Linked DNA regions of Schizosaccharomyces pombe. Changing the gene in region 1 together with any one later gene gives a genetic interaction. Each region holds a gene or a part of one and is shown in the gene's direction. Other genes may lie near its edges. The genes, in order: imp1, sap14, spo5 and nup61.

What was found.
Region 2: mutations in imp1 (region 1) and sap14 together harm fitness more than expected from each alone (negative genetic interaction), as found in Schizosaccharomyces pombe (one large-scale study listed by BioGRID).
Region 3: of imp1 (region 1) and spo5, changing one enhances a phenotype caused by changing the other (phenotypic enhancement), as found in Schizosaccharomyces pombe (one study listed by BioGRID).
Region 4: of imp1 (region 1) and nup61, changing one enhances a phenotype caused by changing the other (phenotypic enhancement), as found in Schizosaccharomyces pombe (2 studies listed by BioGRID, with this or other methods).

Annotation. Positions count from the first base shown.
Region 1 is NC_003423.3:3,913,041-3,919,014, forward strand, and holds imp1 (importin alpha family nuclear import signal receptor adaptor Imp1), read left to right. Parts: upstream 1-3,514; 5' UTR 3,515-3,585; coding exon 3,586-5,205; 3' UTR 5,206-5,474; downstream 5,475-5,974. Other genes in the region: srb7 (mediator complex subunit Med21), read right to left, coding at 10-260, 313-342, 396-489, 531-572; exoribonuclease Rex4, read left to right, coding at 1,656-1,688, 1,763-2,512; F0-ATPase subunit atp4, read right to left, coding at 5,729-5,974. UniProt on the Schizosaccharomyces pombe protein: Functions as a component of the nuclear pore complex (NPC).
Region 2 is NC_003423.3:2,047,937-2,054,986, reverse strand, and holds sap14 (Pre-mRNA branch site p14-like protein), read left to right. Parts: upstream 1-4,218; 5' UTR 4,219-4,291; coding exon 4,292-4,535; exon of another isoform or gene 4,536-4,628; coding exon 4,629-4,729; 3' UTR 4,730-4,990; downstream 4,991-7,050. Other genes in the region: AAA family ATPase Gcn20, read left to right, coding at 1-773.
Region 3 is NC_003423.3:2,532,792-2,540,861, forward strand, and holds spo5 (meiotic RNA-binding protein 1), read left to right. Parts: upstream 1-3,358; 5' UTR 3,359-3,429; coding exon 3,430-3,659; intron 3,660-3,707; coding exon 3,708-4,051; intron 4,052-4,106; coding exon 4,107-5,236; 3' UTR 5,237-5,463; downstream 5,464-8,070. Other genes in the region: ccr1 (NADPH-cytochrome p450 reductase), read left to right, coding at 672-2,708; histone H3-H4 chaperone, CAF assembly factor (CAF-1) complex subunit A Pcf1, read right to left, coding at 5,528-7,162; psm1 (mitotic/meiotic cohesin complex ATPase subunit Psm1/Smc1), read left to right, coding at 7,952-8,070. UniProt on the Schizosaccharomyces pombe protein: RNA-binding protein which plays a role in sporulation. Regulates the progression of meiosis I and may function in the vicinity of the Mei2 dot.
Region 4 is NC_003421.2:728,570-737,357, reverse strand, and holds nup61 (nucleoporin Nup61), read left to right. Parts: upstream 1-4,116; 5' UTR 4,117-4,136; coding exon 4,137-4,255; exon of another isoform or gene 4,256-4,307; coding exon 4,308-4,606; exon of another isoform or gene 4,607-4,654; coding exon 4,655-5,886; 3' UTR 5,887-6,487; downstream 6,488-8,788. Other genes in the region: ism1 (isoleucine--tRNA (Ile) ligase), read left to right, coding at 1,016-3,937; dom34 (translation release factor eRF1 family protein), read right to left, coding at 6,836-7,468, 7,517-7,623, 7,680-7,978, 8,039-8,092, 8,146-8,225. UniProt on the Schizosaccharomyces pombe protein: Functions as a component of the nuclear pore complex (NPC).

The DNA of each region.
Region 1 (5,974 bases):
ATATTATCATCAGGGCTGAAATAGGACACATGATAACCGGCCAAATGTTTCAATCCTCTTGGCCAATTGTAATTTTAAATCTTCATTTTCTGATTCTAAACTCTTCCTCTCCAATTGTTTTTCTTCAATGGAGTTTTGTAACTTTTTAATTTTCTCTAATTGATGTTTTGGTGCAGTGGAAATACCTGGAAGTTGGTTGATCAAAGTGTCTATTTGCATAAATTTTGTAACCAAGTCTTTTGCTAGATCCCTTTGAGCGACTACAAAAAGAAGTTAGCACATAAAATGACTAGAGGACGTCTAATATCGTACATTGTAACTCTTCAGCAGAAATTGGGTTCACTAATAATTTGTTAGTAGCTACTTTGAATAGCATCATAATGAATCTTGTATACCTTTAGAATCAGAAACCTTTTCTTGACCAGGTAAAGGAACGAAATCATGATGAGAACTTAAATAATGAATGGAAGAGTAAAATTGTGTGGCAACCTACATAGGTTAGAATAGAAAAAGAAAACTAGTCCCATTACCTCATCAATTGTATCTTGAAGCTGAGTACACCTACATGCCATTTTTTTATGTAGGTGTAATATGAGTTAAAAAGAGTTGAAAGTCGCAAGTTGTTGAAGGTCCATGATGCAGGTAACAATTGTTGAAGCGCAAATGTCAAGAACAATAAATCGCTAATTAACTTTTCTGTTATTTCAGCATCGGATATTTATTATGCACAGCTTTTGATTTTATGACATTGTTTGTAATTGTAATGTATCGACCTAAAAACCGACTGTCTAGCAATCGGGAAAAAGAATTAAGCTAGAATCACGCTTGACATAAGCAAAAGAAATTTAACATAAAACAGTACATAAAATTTAAAAAAAAATTAATGGAAAGCGAAAAAAAATAAACTACAGAAACTACAGAATCAGCTAAGTATTTTTAATTAACATAGAAAAACAATGATAATAGTAATACATTCGACATATTTATTATATTTTTGATCGTGGAAGGGTGTCCGAGTGGTTATGGAGCTAGTTTAAGGCACTAGTGCGAAAGCTCGTGGGTTCGAGTCCCACCCCTTTCAGTACCTTTTTGATAATCCATTCATTCTGAGTGTTTTCATATTACGTGAAGGTGCATTGTTATTAAAATTGCAGTACTCTGCTTTTAAAAAGATAGCGGACAATGCTACAAATTCAATACAATCTATCCTTTTAAGCAAACATAAATCACTAAATGTTTAACGAATATGCTACTACGGGTCTTGAATATTCACAATATTCTTTTATTAGGAAATGCATTAACCACCGGTACCTTATAATATTCTTACGAAGTGGGTACACACTGAAATAGCTCATTGGTGACCCGAAGAACGGAGGTTAATTTATTTCATAGTCTCGTATATTTGGCAGTAGTTACATCAAGAAGCAACAAATGGTGCATCACTGTCAATATATGTATATATACTATAGATAAATAAATACAAGGCATGTGACTTATATAATGATACTTAACGTAACGTACTATCATCAACGCTTTATTCAAAATAATGAAATGTGCTAAAATGTGATAAAATATTTGTGATACCGCGTTGAGAATCATATTGAAAGAGGTTGCAAATTGCTTCTTGCACCAACTTTGGCTCTTATGCACAAGCAATGTCTTCTTCCAATTGGGAAAAGTTAAAGAAGGTATGAAAGGCTATAGTTTCCATTAAGTCATTTAAGATTCTTGTTTAAGTATACTAACGGTATTGGTTGTTTAGAAACTCGACAGCGCTAAGAGTGGACGGGTTGAAAAAAAGCATTCTAATGAAAAGAAATACCTTAAAAGTGTGAAAGGTAAAAACAATGAGAATGAGAATTCTTATATCGTCGATAAAAAACGCATGAATGAATTAAAGAAATTTGCTAAGGAAAATGATATCCCTGAATCTCAAGTCCTTGACGCATATGGCGTGGATGCTTCCAAGCTTACCAGAAAAACCAATTTGGAAACATTGGGGAAATATATTGCAATGGATTGTGAAATGGTTGGGGTGGCAGATGACATGTCAGTTCTTGCACGCGTCAGTATAGTTAATTATCATGGTCATGTCGTGTATGATACTTATGTCCGTCCTAAAGAAAAGGTTACGGATTGGAGAACATGGGTCAGTGGTGTCAAGTCATTTCACATGCGGGATGCACCTTCATTTGAAAAAGTACAAGCAGAAGTTGCTAAGATACTCGACAATCGAGTATTGGTTGGACATGCTGTCCATAACGATCTCAAAGTACTACTTTTATCGCATCCAAGAAGAATGATTCGTGATACCAGCAGATTTTCTGGGTATCGGAAATTAGCCAAGGGAAGGACACCAGGGCTTAAAAAACTTGCTGAAGTGATTCTTGGGCGTGACATTCAATCTGGACAGCATTCTTCCGTCCAGGATGCCCAAGCAACGATGGAATTATATAAGAAAGTAAAAAAAGAAATGGATGAAGTTGCATTCAAAGGTTTGTCAAAGTCATAAGCTTTGAATCACTAGACTTCGTTCTGGTCATTTGGGATTTGGGTTTAATAATATGCAAGAAAATGTTTCTTATAATTTTACTGGATATGTGTCAGATGTTAAATATATTTTCGGTTGCTTATAACAGCAATATTGTTTTCATTGGCTCTTATGAAATCGTTGGTTTTCTTTCTTTATTTATCTCTTCTGTTTCCTTCGTTTCTGGTTTTAAATAGTCAATCTATTAATAATTTTTAGTATAAATAAATGATGCATACAACTGAAGGAAAGAAATAATGTATGGAAAAAACAAGGATATAGAGATTTATCAGCTTCGTTTATATGGTCTTCATAATTACTTTGTGAATTAATAAAGTTAATGTTATATAATTAGATTACTTCCTATAGTGTATATGATTTAGAGCATTTTAACTGAATGACGATAATATGTTTTCAAGCGCCGTTAAGTTAATTCCTAAATTTATATAAATACCGAATTAATCTTTATTATCACAAAAAAAATAAAAAATATATATATTAATAATAGCTACCAAATAAATTCTAGTTAGACAATGGACCATTAATGTATACATATTAATAGCTTACAAAACAGATACGGAAGTGTTTGAAAAATAAGTATTTATTCAAAGATTAAATTGCTCAACTATATGTATTATATAATCAAAATAAAAATAAAAATAGGCCAACTTGACAGGTTGTTTAAAGAAAAATTCCATTTGTTTTTAAATTTTGAATTCTTGTTATAGCATTCAGCTTGTTAAAAACCCAAGAAAAATTGGTTGATGAGCTCAATAAGCATGTTGTTTTACCCGTTTTATGGTGCGAAGGTTTCCAATGACAGAACAAAAATGATCTAGAAAGTTTCAACGATTTGAACCGGAAAATGATATATTTCAAATTATTCTAAATTTATTATTTTTGAACATTGTTACCTGGGTGCCGGCTGCTTCTTGGAACGACACAAGTGCTCTTTTACCTCCTTATTCTCATTAAACTCGCAGCAACCACAACTGTCTTAGATAACTAAAAAAAAAAGAGTAAAAAGGATATCAAAAAAGTTTATTCCTATAGAAATGGAATCGAGATATTTATCAGATAGAAGAAGCCGTTTTAAAAGCAAAGGTGTTTTCAAAGCTGATGAACTTCGTCGGCAACGTGAAGAACAGCAAATTGAAATCCGCAAACAAAAACGTGAGGAAAGTTTGAATAAACGAAGGAATTTAAACGCTGTTTTACAAAATGACATTGATGTGGAAGAGGAGGCTGATCAGTCTCAGGTTCAAATGGAGCAACAAATGAAAGATGAATTTCCTAAATTGACAGCTGATGTGATGTCAGACGACATTGAGCTACAATTAGGTGCCGTCACGAAATTCAGGAAATATCTTTCTAAGGAGACGCATCCCCCTATTGATCAGGTAATTGCTTGTGGTGTTGTTGACCGGTTCGTACAATTTTTAGAAAGTGAACATCACTTGCTTCAATTTGAAGCGGCTTGGGCCTTAACAAATATCGCTAGTGGTACCACAGATCAAACCCGTATTGTTGTTGATTCCGGCGCTGTTCCTCGTTTTATTCAATTACTTTCTTCACCTGAAAAAGATGTCCGTGAGCAGGTTGTATGGGCCCTCGGTAACATAGCTGGCGATTCTTCTGCCTGCCGTGACTATGTACTCGGTAACGGAGTTTTACAGCCTTTACTTAATATTCTTCAGAGTAGCGCTTCTGATGTTTCTATGCTCCGTAACGCTACATGGACACTTTCTAACTTGTGTAGAGGCAAAAATCCACCACCTAACTGGTCAACTATTTCTGTAGCCGTTCCAATCCTTGCTAAGCTCCTTTATTCTGAAGACGTTGAGATTATTGTTGACGCGTGCTGGGCCATCTCCTATCTTTCTGATGGACCTAACGAAAAAATTGGCGCCATTTTAGACGTTGGATGTGCGCCCAGGCTTGTTGAACTTTTGAGCTCTCCCAGCGTTAATATTCAAACTCCTGCCCTTCGCTCTGTGGGGAATATAGTAACAGGTACTGACGCGCAAACACAGATCATAATCGATTGCGGTGCTCTCAATGCATTCCCTAGTCTTCTCAGTCATCAAAAAGAGAACATTCGTAAGGAAGCTTGTTGGACTATTAGCAATATTACTGCTGGCAATACCCAACAAATCCAAGCAATTATTGAAAGTAATCTTATACCTCCATTGGTCCATTTACTCTCATATGCCGACTACAAAACAAAAAAAGAAGCCTGTTGGGCTATTTCTAATGCTACTTCTGGCGGTCTCGGTCAGCCTGACCAAATTCGTTACCTTGTGTCACAAGGCGTTATTAAGCCACTTTGCGATATGTTGAACGGATCCGATAATAAAATTATTCAAGTTGCTCTCGATGCCATTGAAAACATACTTAAAGTTGGTGAGATGGACAGAACTATGGATCTTGAAAACATTAATCAATACGCTGTCTACGTTGAGGAAGCTGGCGGTATGGATATGATCCATGATTTGCAATCCTCCGGAAATAACGATATTTATTTGAAAGCGTATAGCATCATTGAAAAGTATTTCAGTGACGAGGACGCAGTTGAAGATTTGGCACCTGAAACCGAAAATGGCGCCTTCACATTTGGCAATGGCCCTCAAGCTCAAGGAGAATTTAAATTTGATTCTCAAGATATGGCTATGTAACGTTTAAATTAATTTTAAAAAAATTTTTTTTGTTCTAATCGAAGCGCACATTATTTACATGTTTCACTTAGACAAATTCTGTTTTCCATTACTGGTGCTTTTGTTGGGTTTGTATTTCTTTTTTTTACCCTCTATTTTTAATTCAATTTAGCTATTTGTGAAGCTAAGTATTTCTATTAGGATTAAAAACTACGGTTAAATAATATGTTTACGAAAAAAATGAGTGTACTACTAAAACAGAGCGGTACAGGTAAATAGCATGATATCACTAAAAATGTTTATATTCGTAAGAGCTGCAACTAGGCAAAATAGAGAAGGGGGTTTAGGATCAAAGAAAATAAAAATAAAAGAAAGCAGCGGGGACGATATACACTGTTAGGTTCAAATGACTTCGACTAATCGGTGAATGCAATTTGAAAACCAATAATGACGCAAATTTTTGCTAATAAGCATATATGCAAATCAAATATGACTGAAAAAAACTGCAGCTGTCTTATCGTATTATGTCCCTCGAAAAAACAATTTAGGCACTAGCTAAGACCTTTTCGATTTCACCGAGACTTTCATTGAGAGCATCCTGTTGGAACTTTTGGGTAGAAACTTTGCTGTTGACACGAGCCAAGACATCTTCAACGAGACGTTCCTGTTGTTCAGCGCGAACGTTGGCTTCGTGATGAACCCAGCTATCCAACACTGATTTAGCTTCTTTAGCTAAAGCAACTCGCTGTTCGAGCTCAAAGATCTCAGCCTCCATACGGGCAGTTTCTTT
Region 2 (7,050 bases), 1.9 Mb from region 1:
AAGCACAAAGTCGTATTAAGAAGTTGGAAAAACTGCCGATCCTTGAAAAGCCTCAAACTGAGGAAGAAGTTGAGTTTGAATTTCCACCTGTGGAAAAAATATCTCCTCCTATCTTACAAATGTCTGATGTCAATTTTGAGTATGTTCCAGGTCACCCTATTCTCAAACATGTTGATATTGATGTTCAAATGGATTCTCGTATCGGTGTGGTTGGTCCCAACGGTGCTGGTAAATCAACAATGCTTAAGCTTCTTATCGAACAACTTCATCCAACATCTGGTATAGTTAGTCGGCACCCCCGACTTCGTATTGCATACTTTGCACAACATCATGTCGATACTTTGGACTTAAACTTGAATGCCTTAAGCTTTTTAGCTAAGACATTTCCTGGCAAAGGTGAAGAAGAATACCGTCGTCATCTTGGCGCTTTTGGTGTTAGTGGACCTCTTGCATTGCAAAAAATGATCACGCTTTCTGGTGGTCAGAAATCTCGTGTTGCGTTCGCATGCCTAGGTCTACAAAACCCTCACATTCTTATTCTAGATGAACCCACCAACCATCTGGATATGGAGTCCATGGATGCCTTGACAAGAGCTGTTAAACGCTTCCAAGGTGGTGTGATTCTTGTTTCTCACGATGTTGATTTCTTGGACAAGACATGTACCAGTATTTGGCAGTGTGACCATAATGTCGTCTCCAAGTTTGATGGAACAATTTCACAATATAAGAAATTCTGTCTATCTCAACAGCCAACCATGACTATAAAAACTTAATGGAATAGCATAGACTTAAATAATAATAATATAGCTGGCGAGGATAAATAAAATCAAATTCTTTTATCTATGAATCTGGATAAAATATGTAAACGAAGTTAACTACATTTTATACAGTAAAAGACATGAAGTGTTAAATAAGATTAAAACAGTAAATTAATTATAGCTAAGTAAGTCATAACACGGTAATGGACAAGAAACCTGGAAAGCATGCAAATCATCAACCAACACCCAAAAAATAAAGAGAACAAACCCAATCAATTAAAAAGTAAAGAGGAGGAAGGGGAGAAGAGGAGAAAATAAGGCGGACCAAGGAAATCAATAGCAGAAAAAAAAAGAATATACAGACTAGTAAACAAAAAAAGAAAGAGAAAGGAAAAAGTTAACTCATTAAATTCGTTTAGGAACTTGACTAGAAAACCTCGAAGGATTTGGAAAAAAGGACATGGGAAAAGACGTAGGGCGAGAGATTGATGGAGAGGAGGAAGATGAAGGTTGAGTTTTGACGGCGTTGAACGATTTAAAATTCTGAGAGGTGAAAGACTTTGGAGGAAGAGGAATGGACGGATAGGTATTAGAGGTTAAAGGACGCTTTGTAGAAGTATTAGTAGCGTTAGAAGAAGAACGTCCAAGGGGATGCAATTGGGGAAAGCTCCGAGAGGATGAAGTAGCTGAAACAATATGACGGGTAGCAGAGCCTTTTTGAGAAAATCACTTTTAGCTCTCGCCATTAGAGAACTTTTTGGACAATAATTACTCATGGGACGCGGACGCTTAGGAGGCCGAGCAGCTCTAGGCTCACGCTCTAAAGGAACAATTCGCTTGTTTTGTTTACTTTGCTCTAGCTTGGTGTAAGCACTTCGAAGCTTAGCAGAAGCAACGTTATAATGAGCATTTCTTTTTTTCTTAAGTTTTCCGTAGAGCCCTCTCCAATCATCAATATTGTTCAATATAGTTCGTTTTTGAAGTTCTAATCCAAAATCACGCAAAACGTGATCTTTCCACAATGGTTGAGTGTCAACTTTCAAATGAGGCGACTTTTCTTCCAAGTCTATTAAATGTTCTGGTCTAGCTTTTTCCAGGATAGGTTTTACGAGTTCGAATGGGCAATCGCCAATATCATCGATGTCGTGCACATGCTTCTGCGCGACTTGGATGCACAAATCTTTTAAAGAATACATCGCTCATATGATAGTAATTTTTAAAAATTTCAAAGAAAACGATCGAATTAGAGCTCTATAGTCTTCAATTGGAAGAGTGCTTTTACCTTATTTGAATGTAAACAAAACCAATTCAACGGGGGAAAATGTGTTTCAAAGAAGGAAAGGTCCAGAATCTATCGATTAGCTAAATTCCTTTCCTTGTTAGTATATGCGTATAAAACGCGGAGAATCTAAGTGCGAGTAAAAAAAAATTCCAGATAATTGTTTGTTTCCGACAAGTTGAAAAAGACGGCGAAGCAAACCTATTTGTTCACTTATACAAATATATTAAAAAATAATTAAAATCTTTAATTTGTTAACTCGGTAAAATCGTTAAATTATCGCTAAATAAATTTATCGACCTTTATCAAATTTTCTTCATTCAATTTACGAGTTCTCAACCACCGTTTCGTTATAAATATTTGCGTATTCAACGTTAAAAACCGTAATTATCCTTCTTGCCTTTCCGGCCCAGTGGAAGTTCCAATGACGCCGCGGAAGGGCTGCACACCTCAGTAGCGAATATGGGGAAAGAGCAAATTCATGCTTGCCACGATGACTACCTGGATGCTTGATGTAGGTGACGTGTTACTTAAGATGAAAATGTAAATACAAGAGAAGAAATGGGTCAAGAAGGCGATTAATGGATGAAAAGAGAAATTATTCATAGAAAAATTTTTCCTTAAATATGCGCTTTTATTAATCTTTCGTTTAGGTTTTTTTCTCTCGTAAATTAATTCAGATATAGGTATTTAATCAACATTGCCAATTTCAACAAGTTTTAGGGGTTACGTGCAATAGTTTTATTGTTCTATTGTTTTTTAATTCTTCTCTCAATCCTAACTCTTGAAATTTTGTCGTACAAGACATTTTTCGCATTTCGTCAAGTTAAATTTTATGTTAAACTAGAGTTATTTGCGAATTAGGCTAATGAGCAGAAACCACTTGAATATACAAAATTTTATTTATTTATTTATTTATTTATTTTTTTTAAAAAAAGAGTAAATGGTAATTAATCTACTAGAAGCGTAAAAAGAATTGTTCAATACTTCAAAAAGAAAAATATGTATATCATATATCAAACCAGATTAGCAATCAATGCCAATAGCTTTATTCATTGAAAAAATAAAAAAAATAAAGAACGGTTATAGATGAGTCAATTAATTTCGTACTTTAACGTTAGTTGGTTTATTTCGTTTTTGTACAACATTATTTACTTTTTTAAATACTTAGTTCCTGCTTATCATAATGAATATAGCTAGCTTCATTAGTTAAAATTATTAGTATAGTTTTCGAAATTGTAAACGCTACTATAGTTTCTTTTTTCTGTAATTTCCTAAATTGCTTCAAAACAGCATTTGCAATGCAGCACATTCTCAATTAAGAGCAGTTGTAAGCAAAGAGCAATGAGAAATCTTTCAAATTAGATAAAATGAAGTACAGTAAGATCCACATATTCAACAAAGCTATCCTTTCCCTTTAGTGTCTCTGTTGCTATCACTTATATACGAAAGCATGGCATTGGAAGCGTAAAATGAATCATTAATTTTGCAGATGTAGTTTTCTGGGATCAGGAAATAAAAAATTTAAGAAATTTCAAAAGAACTTGAGAAGAAATTGATGAACTAGTTGGTCTGTAGGCAAAAGATCAATGATACCAAATTGTTTCCTTGATAAAAGTCCCATTGCCAAACAAGAGTATAAGTTAAAAGAAAGTAAAGAAATAAGGAAAAATATAAATTGATGATACAACTATACTATCAAACTATTCTTTGCAATTGTCAGTTTTAAAGTTGAAACCTATTTCCTGTAGGATAGACAAACGAGGAAGCAAAAAATACCAATAAAAATGTTTATGATTTTCAACTAGTTATGTATAATTTGAAAATCACTTTAAATTGACTCTCTATTGAAATCACCGCCATGTCAGTTTCAACTCTGATCAAAGATCTCATGAACTAAGGATTGCATTTGACATTTGGAGTTACCAGGTAAAAGAAGAGGAAAATTTTGGTAAAAGGTTGAACCGTTTTGTCTACGATCTGTTGGTCCATTCGATTTCCCAGCATATACCTCTTCTTGTCCAAACCACGAAACGTAACCTTTAATATTCATGTCTCAATCTTTTCTACTATAATTAAACTCACGTATAGGATTGACTATACAACATCAATCTCCAAGCTGTGATAACGAGTATTTTCCATCTGATCCCAACCAACCTTTTAGGAATATTTATCCTTTCCAAAGCAAACCAAATCATTTCTTTTCGAAATTTGATTTTTTTAACAAAAAGTGTTAAGATCGTAAAAATAACAAATGCCTCCATCTACAGTTAATCAAGAAGTCAATTCTATCCTATTCATCAAGAACTTGTCTTTTAAAATTACAGCAGAAGAGATGTACGATCTTTTTGGTAGGTATGGTCCTGTACGACAAATAAGGCTGGGGAATACGGTTCAAACAAGAGGTACTGCATTTGTGGTTTATGAAAACGTTCAAGACGCTCGTCGAGCTTGCGAAAAGCTTTCTGGCTACAACTTCATGGATAGATACTTGGTTGGTACGTTATCTTAGGGAATGTATTAGCTACTATTAATTTTAATTTCTCCTTTCTAACGGCTTTTTAATATCTTCTTGTTAACTTTTTTTTTAGTGCATTATTATAACCCTGAAAGAGCTAAGGTTGATGGTCAAGATTTGGCAGCAAGGTATGCCGCCTTGGAACAAGTTAAGCAAAAATACGGTGTTCAGTGAACGTTTACTATTTATTTACCAAAAAAAAACAAACAAATTAGGAGTCTGATATTGACTCCATTAACGTGTAATAGATTTCCTCTTTCTATAAATTCTGTTGAAGAGAACATACAGCAGAAAAATGAATCGGCTCATATTAAACAATCGTTTACTAGTGTTTCGAACCTAGGTATAAAAAAGGTACTATAAGGACTTGAATTTTATTATATTTCGCTTAAAGCTTTTTAGTAATAATAATGTAATGCATTGATCTATAATATAACAACGTCTACATGTAGTATTAAGATTTGAATCCCTAATAAAACGTATCCAAATTTGCCCAACCGTATTTCCCAATTAATAATTTTATCTGGCACAAACTTCAAATCATAATGAGCTAGTTTCCAAAGTCCAACCCTTCCAGCTTCATTACCAACACATAACTCACCACCCTTACCAAAAGCTAGGCATGTAACTCTGCCTAAAGGCGTAGCGCTGGTGGGCCAATTACGGAACACACTAAAGCTGGGAACATGAACGAGTCGTAGAGTATCCTTCTTTCCTCGAGATGCGATAGCTAAAACTTGACTATCTTGAGAAAAGCTCATACTATTTATGCTGAAAGTAATATTATCCAATGTAGTGACAGGTTTTGGTGCAGCGTCCGCATTGGATGTCTGGAGGTCATATATATTAACAATACCACTCTTGCTACCAATTGCCAAATACTTATTAGATGGGTCCAAACAAAAATGAGTGGTAGATACACCATCTTGAACTTGCCAACGACGAACGACTGAACGTTGCTCAACATTAAAATGCCATACCTCCGCACCATAACTAAGCACCAACATTTCCGACCCGTCAGAAGTGAACAAAACGTCGGAAAGTACACCTTCAATTTTAAAGCTTGTAGCAAACTGACCAGTAAGAGCATGCAGTAAATTTATATGGCCAGATCTTCCTTCCAAAGCAATGTACTTCCCAGTTGGATCTACGTGAAACCTTTCCATACTTGGCTGAAAGTTCTCTTGTCCATACATACGACTAACTTTTTGAACTTGGGCAGACTCCAAATCCCAAATGTACATGTATTTTCTCCGACCAGCAGCTATTACTCGTTTACCATCCGGATGAAACAACGCAGTTTGAAGAGCTGAAGAACGTAAATGCAAAGATGTTACCAGTGGATTGACTTTGCCATCAAGCTGATAAATGCGAAGTGTGCGATCAAAGCCACAAGTAAGCAAAAGAGGAAAATAAGGATGAATAGACATACAACGAATTCCACTGTGAGAAGGTGCTTGGAAGTTGGCATCTTTAAGCCGTTTGATGTTGATAGTACCAGGAGCAAGAAGCTTTGAGGATTGATTTATGTAGGAAACTGAAGATTTGAATAGACTCTTCAAAGATTTAGGAATGACACTTTTCTCCGATAAAGCATTAAATTCATCCTCTTCTTCGGTTACGTCTTGCTTTTTAGCCCATTCAGGCACTGGATAAACTCTTTCAAACTGGGTTCGTAACCTTCTGGCGTATTGAAGACCATTAACCATGTCTTCATCTTCATATTGACGCAATTTTCTTAATCTCGAGTGGTCCTGCAAAGATATCATCAACCGCTCATCGTCGCTGTCTTCCCAAATCGAAGGGATTTCATTACTAGCTTCTTCGTCCTCCTTCACCGTATTATCTCCAGCTATAATATCTAAAGGTACAGAATCTTTGGCTCCATCTGCTGAGCCAGTATCGAACATGAAAAGCTCTGCATCTTCCAGCTTTTCCAATTCATCTTCTTGAGCATCGTTATCTTCGCTCAATTCGGGAGCTTCGTTCATCATCACATCAAAAGTCTCATTCTCTTTATCTAAAAAGGAAGAGAAATTGTTAATGTTTCCGAAAACCGCATTTTCGAGCTCCAATTCCTCAGTATCTTTTTCCATTTTTTTAGAACTCGGCTTTTCCGCAGTTTTTCTACTCTTAGAGCTTATATCGAGAAAAGCATCTCGGTATACGGAGTTTTTCAAGTTATTTTCCTTACTTGAAGCCATCCGAATAAAAATGTTTAGATAATTATGTAGAGTTGGTTTTTGAAAAATTCACCCAACCTTCCATATAGCGAAATGCACTGAAATACCTCGACTGGTCAAAAAGCTCATACAATCGAAATAGCATTTCTGTAGATATATATTACTCATAAATTAATATTTTTTACAAGTTTAGTTTATTACTAGTCTAAGCTTTTTTCTAATATTAATTCCATAAACTATGAAATAAATTTTTCATAGTACATATGTTGGTAAAATCATGTGTCTATACAATGTGTCCATAGCCTTCATACA
Region 3 (8,070 bases), 1.4 Mb from region 1:
ATATGTTGGATATCTATATCTGTCAAACTTTAACTTCGTTGAACATGCTAATTAACCAAAATTAATACATGAATTTATTAAATAGTTTTTTATTAATTAATAGAAATTTTCAAAAAGTAATCATTGAAAAATCGAACTATATTTTTTTTTTTTATATTATAGCAGTATATAGGTGCAGGAGTTACCAGCGACCAGGTATTAGCGTTTGCCAAAACAATTAGCTTTTCTCCCGAAAGGATTGCTTTTTGAAGTCAATTACTTTAGAAGCTTTCTAGCATCTATTTGATTGTTCAATTGGCATGGTTATTGTGCTCATCATATAAAGCGCAGTTGTTTCATTAATTAAGTATCTTAGCCTACATACTTCATCTTGATTTTTATAGATTCTTTAGAGTATTTGGATAAATACTTGACTTTTTGTTTAAGAGGCTATAGAAACCCTTGTTTGAGTTTCTTCATTTTTATTGTCTCGCGCTTTAGTGTATCTGCTTCAAAGTGGTTCAAGCTAAAAAAGCATAGTACTGTTTCGCTCTTTATTTCGCATCTGCCTATCATCAGACAATTCTGTTGACTCACTCGTTTTTTACACGCACATTTACCCTTGGAATAAAAGGCGGATTAAATCCCGAAGTTGAACACTCGTAAAATTTGGTTATTATATTTTTTGCATTATGAAGACTTATGAATATGTATTGCTGGTCATTATTTTGATCCTTAGCTTGTGTTACTTTATTTATAACAATTTTCTCAACAAGCCAAAGGCTCCTGAGAGGCGAGTCGTGGCTACCGACAGTATTGTCGAGTTGATGGAGGCCGAAAAGCTCACTGCCGCGGTTTTCTTTGGATCTCAAACTGGTACCGCTGAGGACTTTGCCTACCGTTTTTCAACGGAAGCAAAGGCAAACTTCAATCTTACCAATATGGTTTTCGATCTTGAGAACTATGATTTAACCGACTTGGACAACTTTGATAGATCAAAACTATTGGTATTCTTTCTCGCAACTTACGGTGAAGGTGAACCTACGGACAATGCGGAGGCCTTTTTGCAACTTCTTGAGGGCGATGATACCGTTTTTTCAAGTGGAAAAGGCATTGAAGATACTCCCTTCGAAGGAATTCGTTATGCAATTTTTGGCCTTGGAAATCATACCTATGAGTATTATAACGCAATGGCTAAAAAGGTAGATGCTGCAATGACTCGTTTAGGCGCTACTCGTGTGGGCAATCTAGGTTTGGGCGACGATGCCGCTGGTATGCTTGAAGAGGACTATTTACAATGGAAGGATGATACTTTACCTGAGATAGGTAAGCTGTTCCATTTGCAAGAAGTCCACAAGGAATACAATCCTATGTTTGAAGTTATTGAGAAGCCTGAAATTTCCAACACTAGTTCTACTGTCTTTTTGGGAGAACCAAGTCGTCAGCAATTGAAAGGAAATGTTGCATCGAAAGCTCCACGTTCTCAAGCTAATCCATTTTTCTCTTCTCCTGTCAGATCTCTTGAGCTATTCAAATCTGGAAGTCGTAATTGCTTACATTTAGAGTTGGATATCGCAGACTCTGGTATGCGATATCAAACAGGTGATTACGCTTCTATTTGTCCTATGAATCCTAGTCAAGCTGTTGATGATCTTCTCGAAGTTCTCGGTCTCAAAGAGAAGAGGGATACTGTAATAATTGTTAAACCTATCGATACTCTCGATAAGGCTCCTGTTTTAAGTCCTACTACCTATGACACTGTTTTTCGCTACTACTATGAAATATGTGGTATCGTCTCCAGGCAACTGCTTTCTTTTATTGCTCCTTTCGCTCCTACACCAGAATCTAAGCAAGAACTCGAGAAATTAGGCAACGATTATGACTACTTTAAGAAGAACGTTGTAGACTTGCACCTAAACCTTGCTCAAGTCCTTCGTCGTGTTTCTCCTGACGCTCCATTTACAAAACTTCCATTCTCAATGCTATTGGAAAATATGGCACACATGAAACCGCGTTACTATTCGATTTCCTCGAGCAGTGTAGTGCATCCTGACAAAGTTCACGTTACAGCGGTAGTTGACAAGAAAGAATGGACTGATAAGAATCATATCTTTTATGGACTAACTACTAATTATTTGTTGGCACATTGTCGTCATATGCACGGTGAAAAAATTCCACATCCAAATGGTTTGGAATATACCCTTGAGGGTCCTCGTAAAAACTGGACCGGAAAAATTCCGATGTTTGTAAAGAAATCTACTTTTCGATTGGCTCCTCCCGATGTCCCCATAATAATGGTAGGCCCGGGTACTGGTGTAGCCCCATTCCGCGGTTTTGTGATGGAACGGGCTAATTTAGCTTCTAAAGGAGTTAAAGTAGCAAAAACACTTTTATTTTATGGTTGCCAATATTCTGACAAGGATTTTTTATATAAGGAAGAATGGCAACAATACAAAGATGTCTTGAAAGACTCTTTTGAACTGATTACCGCATTTTCCCGTGAGCAAGATCATAAAATCTATGTTCAGCACCGTCTTTTAGAGCACAGTGATACCATTGCTAAACTTGTAGAAGAAGGGGCTGCTTTTTATATCTGCGGTGATGCTGATCATATGGCTAAAGATGTTGTGAATGCATTGGCTTCTATTCTGACCACTGTTGATGTTGACGGTATGAAAGCCGTTAAAGCTCTTCGAGATGACAATAGATTTTTTGAAGATACCTGGTAAGTTTGGAATTTATCCAGACTTTGCGATTACTTCAAGACTTAATGATGCCTTTTCATCTTAGAAATAGTTTAATACAATCATTATTCCACTCGGTATTTTTATCTATAGAAAACATAGTTTTTGTAGCAACTAACGAACAGTACTCTGTAACGTTATAATATCAAAAATAAACTGCCAACTTGAATTTCTTACTGCTCAAAAATGTCTACCGAAAATGCGAATCTACACAAAGTGCTGTGTTTGTCATGATTGAAAAACCTAAACCGACTTAAAGCTGGGTAACAAAGTAAACACTGGCAGTCGACTTCATTGCACTTCAATAATTAAGGCGATTGCGAATGTTTGATCAATTTACATACAATAGAAAGTATTTGATAATTCTTTTTTTGCTTTAAAAATACACGCATCAAGTTAGAGTACAGGATGCTATAAGTTAAATCCTCGGTCAATGTGTACTTGTCAACGCAAAACATTGAGTAATATGCGGAAAAGTTAAGTTTCCAAAAGTACAAGCATAATTAATACATGTATCCTAACTGTATAATAAAACTGAGCCTTTAAGTGTATTTTTTTTCTACGTTATCAAATCTAATGCAACACAATGCTATCCTTGATTTGTTTATTAACAGATTTCGCGCGCTCAAAAACTTACCTTTAACATATATTCAAACATTAAAGTATACATAATTTAAAAATTATTTACTTAAAGCATATAAGAGCGATGAATGGAATAATTACGCCTCAAAAACAAAAACAATTAATGTCTTCTCCTTCTCGTGATCCATTATCCACTACCGAATTGTCTACTCCAACAAGTCAAACAACTGTGGATGTCAATGACACGAAAAAAAGTGAAGGATTGGACTCTACAATTATACTATTAACACCAGGAACAAGCCCAAACGCAACGCCTGGTTCTAGCGAGTTAGGGCTTTCCAAGAAGCCAAACAGGTAAAGGGCTATTACAGATGTGTAATGTAATACTAACTAGGAATATAGTATAAAAAACAATACTTATTCTACAGCAGCACAGGCCGCGTATTTAAATAGGCGTGCTGCTGATCAATCAACCGTTATGACAACCGATCCTATTTCATATGCAAATAACAATATTAATAATGGAACACTGCCACAACAAAACGCCTACTATGCCAACTCTTATTATCCGTCATACTATGCACAGTCACAAGCCATTTCCAACAATCGACCGGGTGTCTCTGGATTCCGTCCTGCATTCAATTCTGTAGCTCCTTGCTATGGTTCACAATGGCAGACTCATCAGTCTGTTCACCCTTATCATGTTAACAATACTCATCAGTATTTAAAACCATATGTTCAGAATGGTATGATACACAGCTTATGAAAAAACTAATACTTACCAAACTTTTCGTCTTTTAGTATATCCTCAAATGCCCTCTTTAAATCAGCCGGGACTTCATATTGTCAATCAACCAACATATCTCGCGCCAGTTCCTTCAGCGACTGTGCCTACGAATTCAGTTTCTCTCTCGATGCCTTCTTTTTCCCAAGGGCAAAAAAATATTCCCGCTGCCATTAATCAAGAAATGAGTGTCGGTACAACAAAGGAGAATACAAATTACCTTTCTCAACTGGTTGGATTGCATCCTGCAATTCCTCCTGCCATTCCCAGCATGTTTCCCATGTCTCATGATAATAAAAAAAGTAACATGGAAAGCACTTCTCGTACTCGGAATGTTTACATTCGTGGTTTACCTCCCAACACTTCGGATGAAAATTTGTTGCTTTACACCAATCGTTTTGGTAAAGTTAGTAGCAGCAAAGCAATAATTGATATGGAAACGAATTTATGTAAAGGATATGGGTTTGCATGCTTTGAAGAAGAGAAATCTGCATTGATTTGCATTTCAGCCATGACTTTATGTGGATATCAGTGTTCATTTGCAAAAGAAAGTTTCAGTGCACGTCTTCAAAGTCTACAAGACACAGAAAGCACCAATCTGTATATTTCTAATCTTCCTCTTCATTGGAATGAAAGTGATATTTCCACATTGTTTAAACCCAGCAAAATCATATCAAACCGCGTACTTCGTGACTCTAAGGAACAATCTCGAGGTGTTGGGTTTGCTCGTATGCAAGATCGTAAAACGGCTGAAGACATAATTAATAAATTTAATAACTTTGTCTTGGATCCTGCTTTACCCCCATTACAAATCCGTTTTGCTGATTCCACTGATCAGAAGAAGTTTAAAGGTCAGACTCAGAAAAGAAGATTATGGCGTGCTCGTGAATACAGTGTTTTAACTAAGGGAATGACAGCTAATAATGCTTTTTCCAAAGTTGAGGAGTTCGCAAATAACTCTATGCCCTCTAAAGTTGGAATGTATGTGCCATTGGAGTCGAACACAGTCTATCAACATTCACCCACTTATGATACTTACGGTTGGCAAAGTATGTATCCCTCTTATTCCGTTTATCCCTCAAACTATGAAAACAGCAGAAGTACTACGCCATATCATGCCCATCCCGCTACTTCTGCTGCTAATTAAATTTAAACATCTTTCCAGCATTTACTTGAACATCAAACTCTAATATCGAAATCTTTTCAAACACTTATCACATACTCAAACTTAAACCAACATAAAACCTGTTAGACAAAGCTTACAATTAAGGGCCAAAGCTTTCTTTCTATGTTTTTTCTTTTATTTATTATCAGGTTATATAACAAAGGTCAAACCACTACAGTATTAATGAATGATATTATACATATTTGCTTAATCGTATAAAAAGAGAGAGGTATAAATAGTCCTTGAGTGTTCAAGATAATTGCACACTGTGAATTAAGAGGATAAAAGGGATGCAAAATTCTCCTTGATTATCCAACCATCAGATACTGATTTTCCTTTACGCACAGCGACTTTTCCAAGAGTTTCGCTGATAATATTTTTGGTTACGTAAGGAAACATGTGCCTCAAATTCTCGATCAGGAATACTTTGTTGTCATGAGAGTTACGGACATATTCTATAAATTTGGGTATATCTTCAGAAGGAAACCTTACTTGTAAATCATCAGAAAGTGAACTGGTAGGTCCAATTGTCATTCCACTAGACGCTGGAGCAGTATCTTGAGAAGCCCATAAATCCTCTTTAGGATCAATTTGGAGATATGTAGATGCTGAAAATGAACTAATGGGTTCAATTAAAGATAAGCAATTAAAGTCAGGAAGAAACTTTGAATCCCAAACCGGACCTTCTACGATTACCTCTAATGGGCCGGAGGAACGATGGGTATTAGAAGCATTGACACTATCCTTGTCATCATCCTCATCATCCACAAAAGCATTATCACCATCCTCTACAATATCATCGGAATTATCTACCTCTTCATCTTCACTTTCTAAATCTTCTCCATCATCTTCCTCATCAGCTACCCATTCTGCTTCTGAATCATATGTGTAGTCTATGTCTTCATCTTCAAGCCAGGGATTCAATAAAACGTTAGAACCATGGGAATGGGTTTTCGTGTAAGATCCAAAATATGGAGGGCGAACATCCTGATAAAAGAAAATGAATTTAATAGGAATCTGTGATAAACAAGATAAAATTTCTTGAGGTTTTGAAACAGATGGATCTTGATATGCGCTCATTAATTGTCGAACCTCGTTTTCGGAATTTCTATTACTAACACCTAAACTGTTTGCGGAGCTTACAGCATCTGATGGTGTAAAAATGTCGTTTAGCTTTAAAGGATAAGATTTAGAGGTTGAGAGGACTTCATCCAAAAAAGAATCAGATTCGTTCGGAGATGGATATTTGGAAAGGGACATCTGATGCTTTATAAAAAAAGGGCGAAACTCTTTCTCAAACTCATTCAGTTCATCCGTTTTGTCAGCTACAAAATTTTCGTTTGGCGCGATTCGTTTCTCAACTCCTTTGGTGAAAAAGTTGTTTAACTTCAATTGTTGTCTTTCCTTATTAAGGATTTGTTCTTGACGAAGGCGCTGTGCTTCTTCTTTCTCACGAAGCTTTTGATCCCTCTCCTCCTTCCGCCTTTGTTGTTCCTGCAATCGAATCCGCTCCTTCTCTAATTTCTCTAATTCTTTCATTTTCTTAGCGGCGATTTTTTCCTGTTCTCTTAGCTTTTTCTCTTGCTCTCGTTGTTGACGTTCCTTTTCACGTTTTAAACGCTCTGCTTCTTTTTGTCGAATCCTTTCCTCTTGGGCCCGCTGTTTTTGAAGCTTCTTTTCTTTACCCGCTTCAGCAGAGCCATTATAAATTCTTTTCTTTCTATTACCCTCATAACTTAATTTGCAAACGTACTCATCAGCTTCACTTGCAGAGTGACTGGAATGAATAACCGATTCATTCGGGGAACTCACTGATAAAGACGTAATGTCAGTGGAAGAGCTACATAACTCATTTCCCTTATTACTAGTAGAGGCCGCGACATCTGAATCAACACTTTCACTATTCATAGACAATGCTGCGAATATCAATAACAAGCCTAAGGGAGGCTAAAAACCGTGCGTAAGTTGTTTTAACGGACGCTCTGATCGAATAAAGAGGATAAAGGAGAGTTCGTAAATTATATGTTAATATTCTATTATATACATCACTATCCCAAATCTGTCTCACCAATCTATTATTCATCCATCTTAACGCTTATATAATTGAATAATTTAATTCCTTAGTTCTAACAAGATATGTACTGATTGATCTGAGTAGCTTAAACATCAAAGTTTTTTGCGAATGGGTTAATATGGTGATTTGTTATATATTTTACCTGACTACGATTATATAATATTACTGCTACATTGCATTACGATATTAATGTTAATATTTTATGGCTCATCTATATTATGATTGAGTTAATATCAGTTGACGAGAATTTTCTTTGAAATTATTTGCCATATTTTTTAACTGGTGATTGGAGTACCACAAATTCATTAATAATGAAACAAACGGATGTTGTTATCATCAATTTTCTTCCTATTTATATGCAGCAAACTTCTTTCAATAACGATGCATCGTACATATATAGGCAGGGGCTATGCAGCTTAGAATAGTAATTCGCTGGAAGGATAATATCATAATAACGAGGTTCTTGTTACAGTGAATATCAAGTTGCACTATATATTATATCGTGGATTTCTGAAACTTTATGAGATGTAATCGTAATGAGTAGGTAACAATATCTAATCAAGTAAAGACGCGTACGCGAGTTTCATACACACCTTGTACATTCCTTTTACCAAGTTTTCCTAATGGGACGTTTACTAAGACTGGAAGTTGAAAACTTTAAGTCTTATCGAGGACATCAAATTATAGGTCCTTTTGAGGACTTTACCTCGATTATCGGTCCTAATGGAGCCGGAAAATCGAA
Region 4 (8,788 bases), on another chromosome or scaffold:
ACAATCTCGATTGATTTGAATGGCACGGGCTATTTCTTCTATTGCCTTTGTATAAATATCACTTTACTATTTTTATACAAATGGAAAATTTTTATCTGTTCTGTTGGTTGCTCGCGTTTTTGAAAATGCTATCTATTCAGTGTGTTTTAAAAGAGCTGTCAAACAAACGAAATTTCGAATGATCTGTAAGATGCTTAGATGATTATATTCTTGATATTATTTATTCATGGCTATCTAATGAGAATAAATCCCTTGGTTACTACTTTGTTATTTATATGGAAGATTTGGCTGCTGGATATTACGTTAGATATAATATTCATGACTTAAAAAAATAAAAAATAAAAACAATAGCTACTTTGGGTTCGAATACGTAAACTTAAAAAGCTGATACAATCACTAGAAAATAATAACCATAATAAATGCTCTTCTGTAAAATTTTCCTTTTAAAAGAAAAAACTATAGATATCTTTCATGAAAATGCTTGCCTTTACTTTTCATTAGCCGAACCATCTGTTACATCTATTCAAACATGCCCTTTGTTTAACCCAATTAGTCTCCAGATGTTTTTTTTTTCTCTGTTTAAGTAAAGCACAACGTCTAGGAGAACTATTTAATTAATGAGGAACCCTTAGTAGAAACTCGTATCTTGGTGCTTCAGAGAAAGATTGAGTAATGCTTCAATGATACAATGAAATAATGAGTTTTTTTACTTTTTCAGCTCTTAAATTCATATACTTTTTAAACAGTTATGTGATAAATCATTATTGATCCAAGGAAACATTCAGTCCAAATTTGCTGTCCACATGCTAGCTTCGTTTGTGTATAGTATTTGAAATAATGGCATTTCTATGCATTGGACCGGTTTTACGCCTTGGCACTTCAGACTACAGCTATAGTTACTACCAGTACAATATACGGAATTGGGACCGTACCCACGAGGTTACCAATTCCCAGTTTGGTCGACATTCATTCCTATATTCGTTTTATGCTCGGATTATAAGGAATCGTCGGACATATGAAATTTTCATATATAAGCAGTTTGCCGAAAGGCCATAACCACATTTGTTGTAAACAAGCAGGTAGGTTTCTCAGCAGTCAGGCGGATTTGAAGAAATATTCAGAATCACTATGCTTGCCAAAGACTTCGTTTCCTATTAAGCCAAACGTTAAAGGAAATAATGAAAAGTATTTCAAATCCATCACATCAGACCTGTATGAATGGCAGAAGGAGAATTTGAATAAAGAAGATTCTTTCGTGCTATTAGATGGGCCTCCGTTTGCAAACGGTCGACTGCATATAGGTCATGCTCTAAATAAGATTTTGAAGGATATCATCAATCGTTGGCAATTGCTGAAAGGCCGTTCTGTGCATTATGTTCCTGGTTGGGATTGTCATGGTTTACCAATCGAGTCAAAAGCTATTAAAGCAAACGCCGAGCGTAAAAGTTCTCTTGAAATTCGAAAGATTGCTAAAGATTTCGCAAATTCGGCCGTTCAAGAACAACTCATGATGTTCCAACGTATGGCTGTAATGGGAGATTGGCCTTCTAGGTACATCACCATGAGTGACAAATTTGAAATAGCAGAGCTTAAGGTTTTCTTAAGTTTGTTACAAAAGGATCTTATATTTCGTCAAAATAAACCTGTTTATTGGAGCTCTTCAAGCAGGTCCGCTTTAGCTGAATCAGAAATAGAATATGATGATAATCACGTCAGCACGTCTATCTACTTTACGTTTCCGGTGAACAGTTTTTCTATCGATGGATGTGAATACAATAATGTAAAGGCATTAGTTTGGACAACAACTCCCTGGACCATTCCTTCAAACCTTGCATTATCTTACCACCCTGAAATCAACTATGGTCTATACCAGCACAATAATTCGATTTATTTAATGTCTGATAATTTAGTTCCAAACTTGGATTTTATGCAGGGAGCTAAGCGTCTTGCGAGTTGCCCTTCAGATATTATTTCATCATTTACATATGAGAACCCTCTATTACCGAAGCAAAGCTTTCCATTTTTACAATCTAACTACGTTACTAATGATATCGGTACTGGTATAGTACATGTCGCTCCTGGCCATGGAATGGAAGATTATCTTCTAGGACTGGAAAACAATTTGCGTCCTTTTTCACCACTCGATGATTATGGTCGATACACTAAAGAAGCTTTGGATGGAAGCCTTGAAGGATTGGAAGTTCTTGGTGATGGAGGAAAGAAAGTAATAAGTATTATGAAAAATCAAAATATGATTGTTAAGGTCTCTCCTTATAAGCACCGCTACCCTTACGATTGGCGAACACATAAGCCATTAATTTTACGGGCGACCCCTCAATGGTTTATATCATTGGAGAATGAAAGGAAAACTGCCATAAAAGCACTTGATAGTGTAAAAATGATTCCTCCAAATTCGCGCGCCAGACTTCTTGGTTTTTTGAATGGCCGTCCTGAATGGTGCATTTCTCGCCAACGGGCATGGGGTTTACCCATTCCTGTATTGTATGAGAAAGGAACTAAAATCCCCCTACTAACTGTGAAAAGTGTATCCTATATCATTGAGAAAATGGAAGTAGAGGGAGTTGATTCTTGGTTTAATGATACTGAAAACAATGGGCATGCTCAGTGGGTTCATCCGGATTACAGAAATAAGGAGTATATTCGTGGCACTGAAACACTTGATGTATGGTTTGATTCTGGGACTAGTTGGACTACAATAGCACCTCGTAAGAATAAACCGCTCATTGACCTTTGCTTGGAAGGAAGCGATCAACACAGGGGATGGTTTCAGTCACTTCTTCTCACATACACTGCCTACCAATCAAAACCAGAAGCACCGTTTTCTACTTTGTTTACGCACGGATTTATCTTTGATGAAAGAGGTCAGAAACAATCCAAGTCTTTGGGCAATGTAACCGACCCTGAAGATGTAATAAACGGAAAGCTTTTAAAAGGAAAAAAGCTTCCATATGGTGTTGATTTACTGAGACTTTGGGTTGCATCATGTGACAGTACGAATGATACTAACCTGGGACCGAACATTTTGACGCAAGTTGGTGAATCCTTAAAAAAGTGGAGATTAACATCCCGATTTTGTCTTGGGAACTTACATGACTGGAATACCTCGAGCTCAGTTGATGTTGGTGAATTACGTGGTATTGATAAGTTGGCTTTAGTCCAACTAGATAAATTTCAGACTGAAATTCGAGAACTTTATGAATCATATTCAATTAACAAAGTTGTTCATCATCTCAATTATTTTATGAACTCTTTCTTATCCTCTACATACTTTGACGCCGTAAAGGATCGTCTGTACGCTGATTTACCCAACAGTGTATCTAGGAGAAGTGTTCAAACTGTCCTTTATCATTCATTACTTACGCTCATTTGGGCCATTTCTCCCATTACTCCACTTTTGGCACAGGAGATTTGGCAAAGCTTACCCGATAGTTATTTGAATTCTTCTTACCAAACTCCTTTTCACGCTGGAGAAACACATCTTATAAGCAGCTTAAGGTCAAAAGTTGATTTACTTGATAGAAAATTTTTAATTAAGGAATACTTGGTTCTTCAACAACTTAAGTATAGTATTAATTTGTTGATTACCGCAGCTCGTGAAAATCTAACTATTAAAAACTCATTAGAAGCTTATGTCGTTATTAAGTCAAAATCTCAATCTTTATTGAGTTTTTTAAAAAATTACTCTTCCGACCTTCCTTTTCTGTTCAATACATCGAAGGTATTTATTAACGAAATTCCCGAAAATCTGAAATTAGCTTCCGTTACACAACCTGAAGTTCAGTTGGATTATGGGGTTGCAAATATCTCTTTATTTTTTTCAAATCAACAAAAATGTCTACGTTGCTGGATGCATACAGCTCATGAGGACGGATTATGTGACAGATGCGAATCTGTTTTGGCCCAACTGAAACGCTAAGAAAAAAGCTGAACGCTCTTTATTATGATAATTTTTGTACCATAGTCATTTATTTTTGTAATACTTAATTAAAATCAAGCGACAATTCATTTTTTGTATTATTTTATTTTACTGTAACATTAGTAAATAAGGAGACATAGTGAAGGCCATAAGTTTGGGTGGTTTTGGGGCTAACAGTTGACCTTCGCAAACTAGCAAAATGTCAAAACGCGGTGCTGATCATCAGTTAACTAAGGATCAAGATGATTCTGATGATGACCGTCATGGTCCAGTTGAAGTTCCTAAGGAGGCCTCCGCAGACGTGATGGCCACAAGAAAGTATGTAACGATGAAACATAGTTCTTCAATTTTTTAGGTACTAATGTATTAGAATTGCAAAGCCAAAATCTAGAAAAAGACCAACGAGCGGTGTTTCTTCTCCGGGAATTTTTGCAAATTTGGCAGCAAAACCGGTGTCTTTACCTGCATCGACTACGCAATTTACATTTGGAAAACCCGCGGTTACAGCTAATAATGATTCAGATATTCACTTGAAAAAACGCGGTCTTAATAAATCATTTATTGACGCTGTTATCAAAAGTGTTGACAATAATCCCTTTGGTAATTTGAGCCCTCTGTTTGATGAATACAGGCAGCATTTTTCAAGTATAGAAAAAAAGCCAGCAGAAGGTAATGCGTTTATAGTTAGTACTTCATTTCTTTCTAACGTTTTCTTAGAACAACCAACTTCAAATGCTGTTGTGTCTGAGGTAAATCCTCAGCAACAAAAAAGCCAAGATTCTTCTTCTTTTGTTACAGAAAAACCAGCTTCTTCAGAAAAAGAGGATAAGGAGAAGCCCCTTGTTCCCCCCGGTGCTCCTAGGTTCGGATTTTCTGCTCCAGCGCTTGGTAGCTCTTTCCAGTTTAATTCATCGGCTTTTACTCCTAAAGGGTCATTTGGTGAGAAGTCCGCAACAGAAGCGGAAGCGAAGGAGAAAGAAACATCTTCTAATCAAACTGCCACTGGTACTGCCGCTACCACAACCAACCAGTTTTCATTCAATACTGCCGCTAATCCTTTCGCTTTCGCTAAGAAGGAAAATGAGGAATCAAAACCATTAACTCCCGTGTTTTCTTTCTCAACGACTATGGCTTCTGCGGATGCTTCAAAAGAGACCAAACAAACCCATGAAACTAAAGATTCAAAGAGCGAAGAATCTAAACCCTCGAACAATGAAAAATCCGAGAACGCCGTTGAACCTGCCAAGGGAAATACTATGAGTTTTTCTTGGACTCCTGATAAGCCTATCAAATTTGACACACCTGAGAAAAAATTTACATTTACCAATCCATTATCGAGCAAAAAGTTACCGGCCTCTTCGGATGTGAAGCCTCCTAGCGCTGCGGCTGTCGGCTTTTCATTTGGAACTACTACTAATCCGTTCTCTTTTGCTGCTCCGAAATCTTCTTTTCCTACTTCTTCTACTCCAGCTTCTGTTGGCGCTGAAAAAAGTGAAGAAACTTCTAATGGAAACAAATCAGAGCAAGAAGAAAAGGAAAACGGAAATGATGAAACTCGATCGAATGATTCTCTAGTTTCTGGTAAAGGAAAAGGCGAAGAAAATGAAGACAGCGTATTTGAGACAAGGGCCAAGATATACCGTTTCGATGCTACTAGTAAATCTTATTCTGATATCGGGATTGGTCCATTAAAAATTAACGTAGATCGTGACACTGGCTCTGCTCGCATCCTTGCGCGTGTCGAGGGAAGTGGAAAACTTTTGTTAAACGTTCGTTTGTGCCAGGATTTTGAATACAGCCTGGCTGGTAAAAAGGACGTAAAAGTACCTGCTGCTTCTACTGATGGAAAATCAATTGAAATGTATTTGATTCGTGTGAAAGAGCCTAGTACTGCGGAAAAGTTATTAGCCGAATTGAATGAGAAAAAGGTCTCAAAGTCAGAGAACTAGAAAGCAGTGATTGATTCAGTCACTATTTATTCCTTTATTTTTGGTCTATTAAATGTACATAAATCTAATAAATTTTTCGGAAATATATTGTCAAGATTATCAATTTAATACTGTCATTCGATTTTCATTTGTGGATAGGGATATACACAATCAGTCTTTTACGAAATGTGCATACAAATATGAAATTCCCGGAAGCATACATGCTCTCCAAGTACATTGCCTTTATGGAATATTAAATTGGTTAAGCTAGTCATATCTTTTCTTTTTAAATTTACGCAGAACATCAAAGTTTTACGGAACTGATTTAATTATCCTAATTTTCATCTTATGAATGATTGATAAATTTTTGAGTGAATTTTAAAACTGTTGTATATCGCCAGTGATATATCTTGAATTGATTGATTCAATAATCGGTTTCGTTATTAAATTACTTTTGTCTATATATTGGTTCCGGATTTTCAAACACCTGCCTAGCTTTTAGAAGGGTCAAACCCCCTTATTGAATAAGTATCTTGGCGCGAACTTTTAATAAAATAAGCAAGTAAATGAGCCACTATCAATTTCGAATTGTTAGTTTTTTGAAAAAAGTAACTTCAACAAATACGTTTGTAGCGAATTTATCGCTTAAAGTTGATTTTTTTACTGTAATTGAATACTGTATTGGACCGGCTATAATTAACAGCTTAATTTTACAAGTTAAGAGTTATAATCGATAAGTATAAATCATTTTAGGGTATCAATTTTTGACCATTCTAACACCTAATTTTTTGCATGTTTATCATAGTAAATACCCTAAAACATCCAAGTAAAAGCATAAATAATGACTACCAAAACGAGCCCATAAATAAATTTTTTAAGAGAATGAAACAAATTGTTCTAACCGAGCTTAAAGTATGAAATATTGGCTTAGCAATAATTAGATTCATGACAATTCGGATACTGATGAACTTTAACTATGTTCAAAATTTTGGGATTCCTCATCCTCTTCATCTTCTGATATATCCTCTTCATCGACTGGGTAAGTGAGAATGGCGGCAATACCTGACAACAGATCCAGCTGCTTCCCTGACTCATGCAAACTACTGAAAATATAAACAGGACAGTTAATCTCCTTAACACCTTCTACTAATGAAACCCATTTTTTTCTAGTAGCAATGTCAGAACTCCTGAACAGAGAATCGCTAATCAGAAGTTCTCCGATCGCGCCAAGTTCAAAAGCCTTCAAAACATGATTTGGACCATACCATGCCTTTCTATCATCTTCATTCATGACATCGTAAAATTTATTCAGAACGCGAATTTCTTGTACGTATTTTGTGTCGGCTAGTTTTGATTCAACAGCAGGGTCCTTCAAAATTTCATTAAGGGAATGAATATGACCAGTGCTAGAATGAAGGATGACAAATTTATTCTTTGATTTAACAATTTGTTTCAAGTCTAACTTCACGGCCATGCTGAATATGTAGTCATACAAGCCTCGAGCCACAAATCCTGGTGAAGCAAGAATAACGACTTTCAATTTATCAAAATCAAATTCTGAGTTAATGGATTGAAAAACAGAGTCATAAAATTTATCAAGGCCCTAAAAAATTGATCAGTACGGACGAAAAATCAAAGTCTAAAAATTTACCTTTTGGTAAGCGCTGCTGTCCCCTCTCCGTTTCCTTGGAATCACTTGATCAATCCTTTGACGCAGGATGGTCATATAATCTGTAATGAGACAAATATTGGCAAGACCTGCAAGTCAGTAAACATGCACGAACTAATAAAGCGATGTAAGCCAAGAAATTTACCTTCATCTAAAACCACAGCACCTATTTCAGCATTTCTTGAAGGATTACAAGCAGCATCTACACGGTCCAATGCAAATGCATCCCATTCATTTTTATATAGAGTAAAATTGCGATGTAGTTCTAAGTCCAAGGTATGGTAGGATCCCATCTTAACTTCAGGATGGTATTCAGTTGTCCGTCCTTTGATGTGCAATTGAGCAGCCTTTGTATCAAAGTCCATATTCTCAACTAAAATACGTAGTTTCATCACAACTCTTGAACCTGACGTACTTCCTGTAGCGCCAACTTTCACTACACGACTAAACAACAGAAAAAACAGGTGTTATTATCGAACATTGAAGATACACTTTATTTCATACCGAACTGTAGAAGCCTTCAGCTGATCTCCAACTTGAAGAATATTATACAAATGCCTAAACTAAGTTAGTTTGTGCATTGATTGCAGATATACAGCAACCAGGCATACCACATATCTTCTGGCTCTTCAGGGCACATGGTTATCCATCCGGAGCCATTTTTTTCGATGTTTTTTTGAATCAACTTCATATTGAATGTGGTTGACGAAGAATTTAAGTGAACAGGAATTTTTTAGGCTATTTTGACTGACATAATATCTCGAAATTTTATTCTATATAATTATCCTTTTTATAGTAATAATTGTTCAAGTCATAAATATGAGTTCTTGACAAAAGTATTTTGCTAACGAGGTAGTGGTATTAATACTTATTGCCATAGATAGTCGTGTATATGAGCAAACTGTACAACAATTTGAGTTGGCCATATACAAATTCATATTCTTTCATTTACTAATAACCACCCAAACTAGTTAAAATGCCTTAAAATTTTTCTCTAAATGGGTTTGCTCGGCATTCCAAACTGATTAATACTTAAACTCCTGGAAAAGACCATAAAAGACTTTCTTCAATTAAAAAAAATTTTATTTAAAAAAATTTCTTCAATTTACGTTGAAAACTGTGATATACCAATGTTCACCATACACGAGGTATCATGGAAGGAATAGAATATCGTTATTAAACACATTTCATGGTATCGGAGTTGGGGCATATTTTTTTAAATTTGCTTCGTAAATTCATGTAAACAAACTTTGG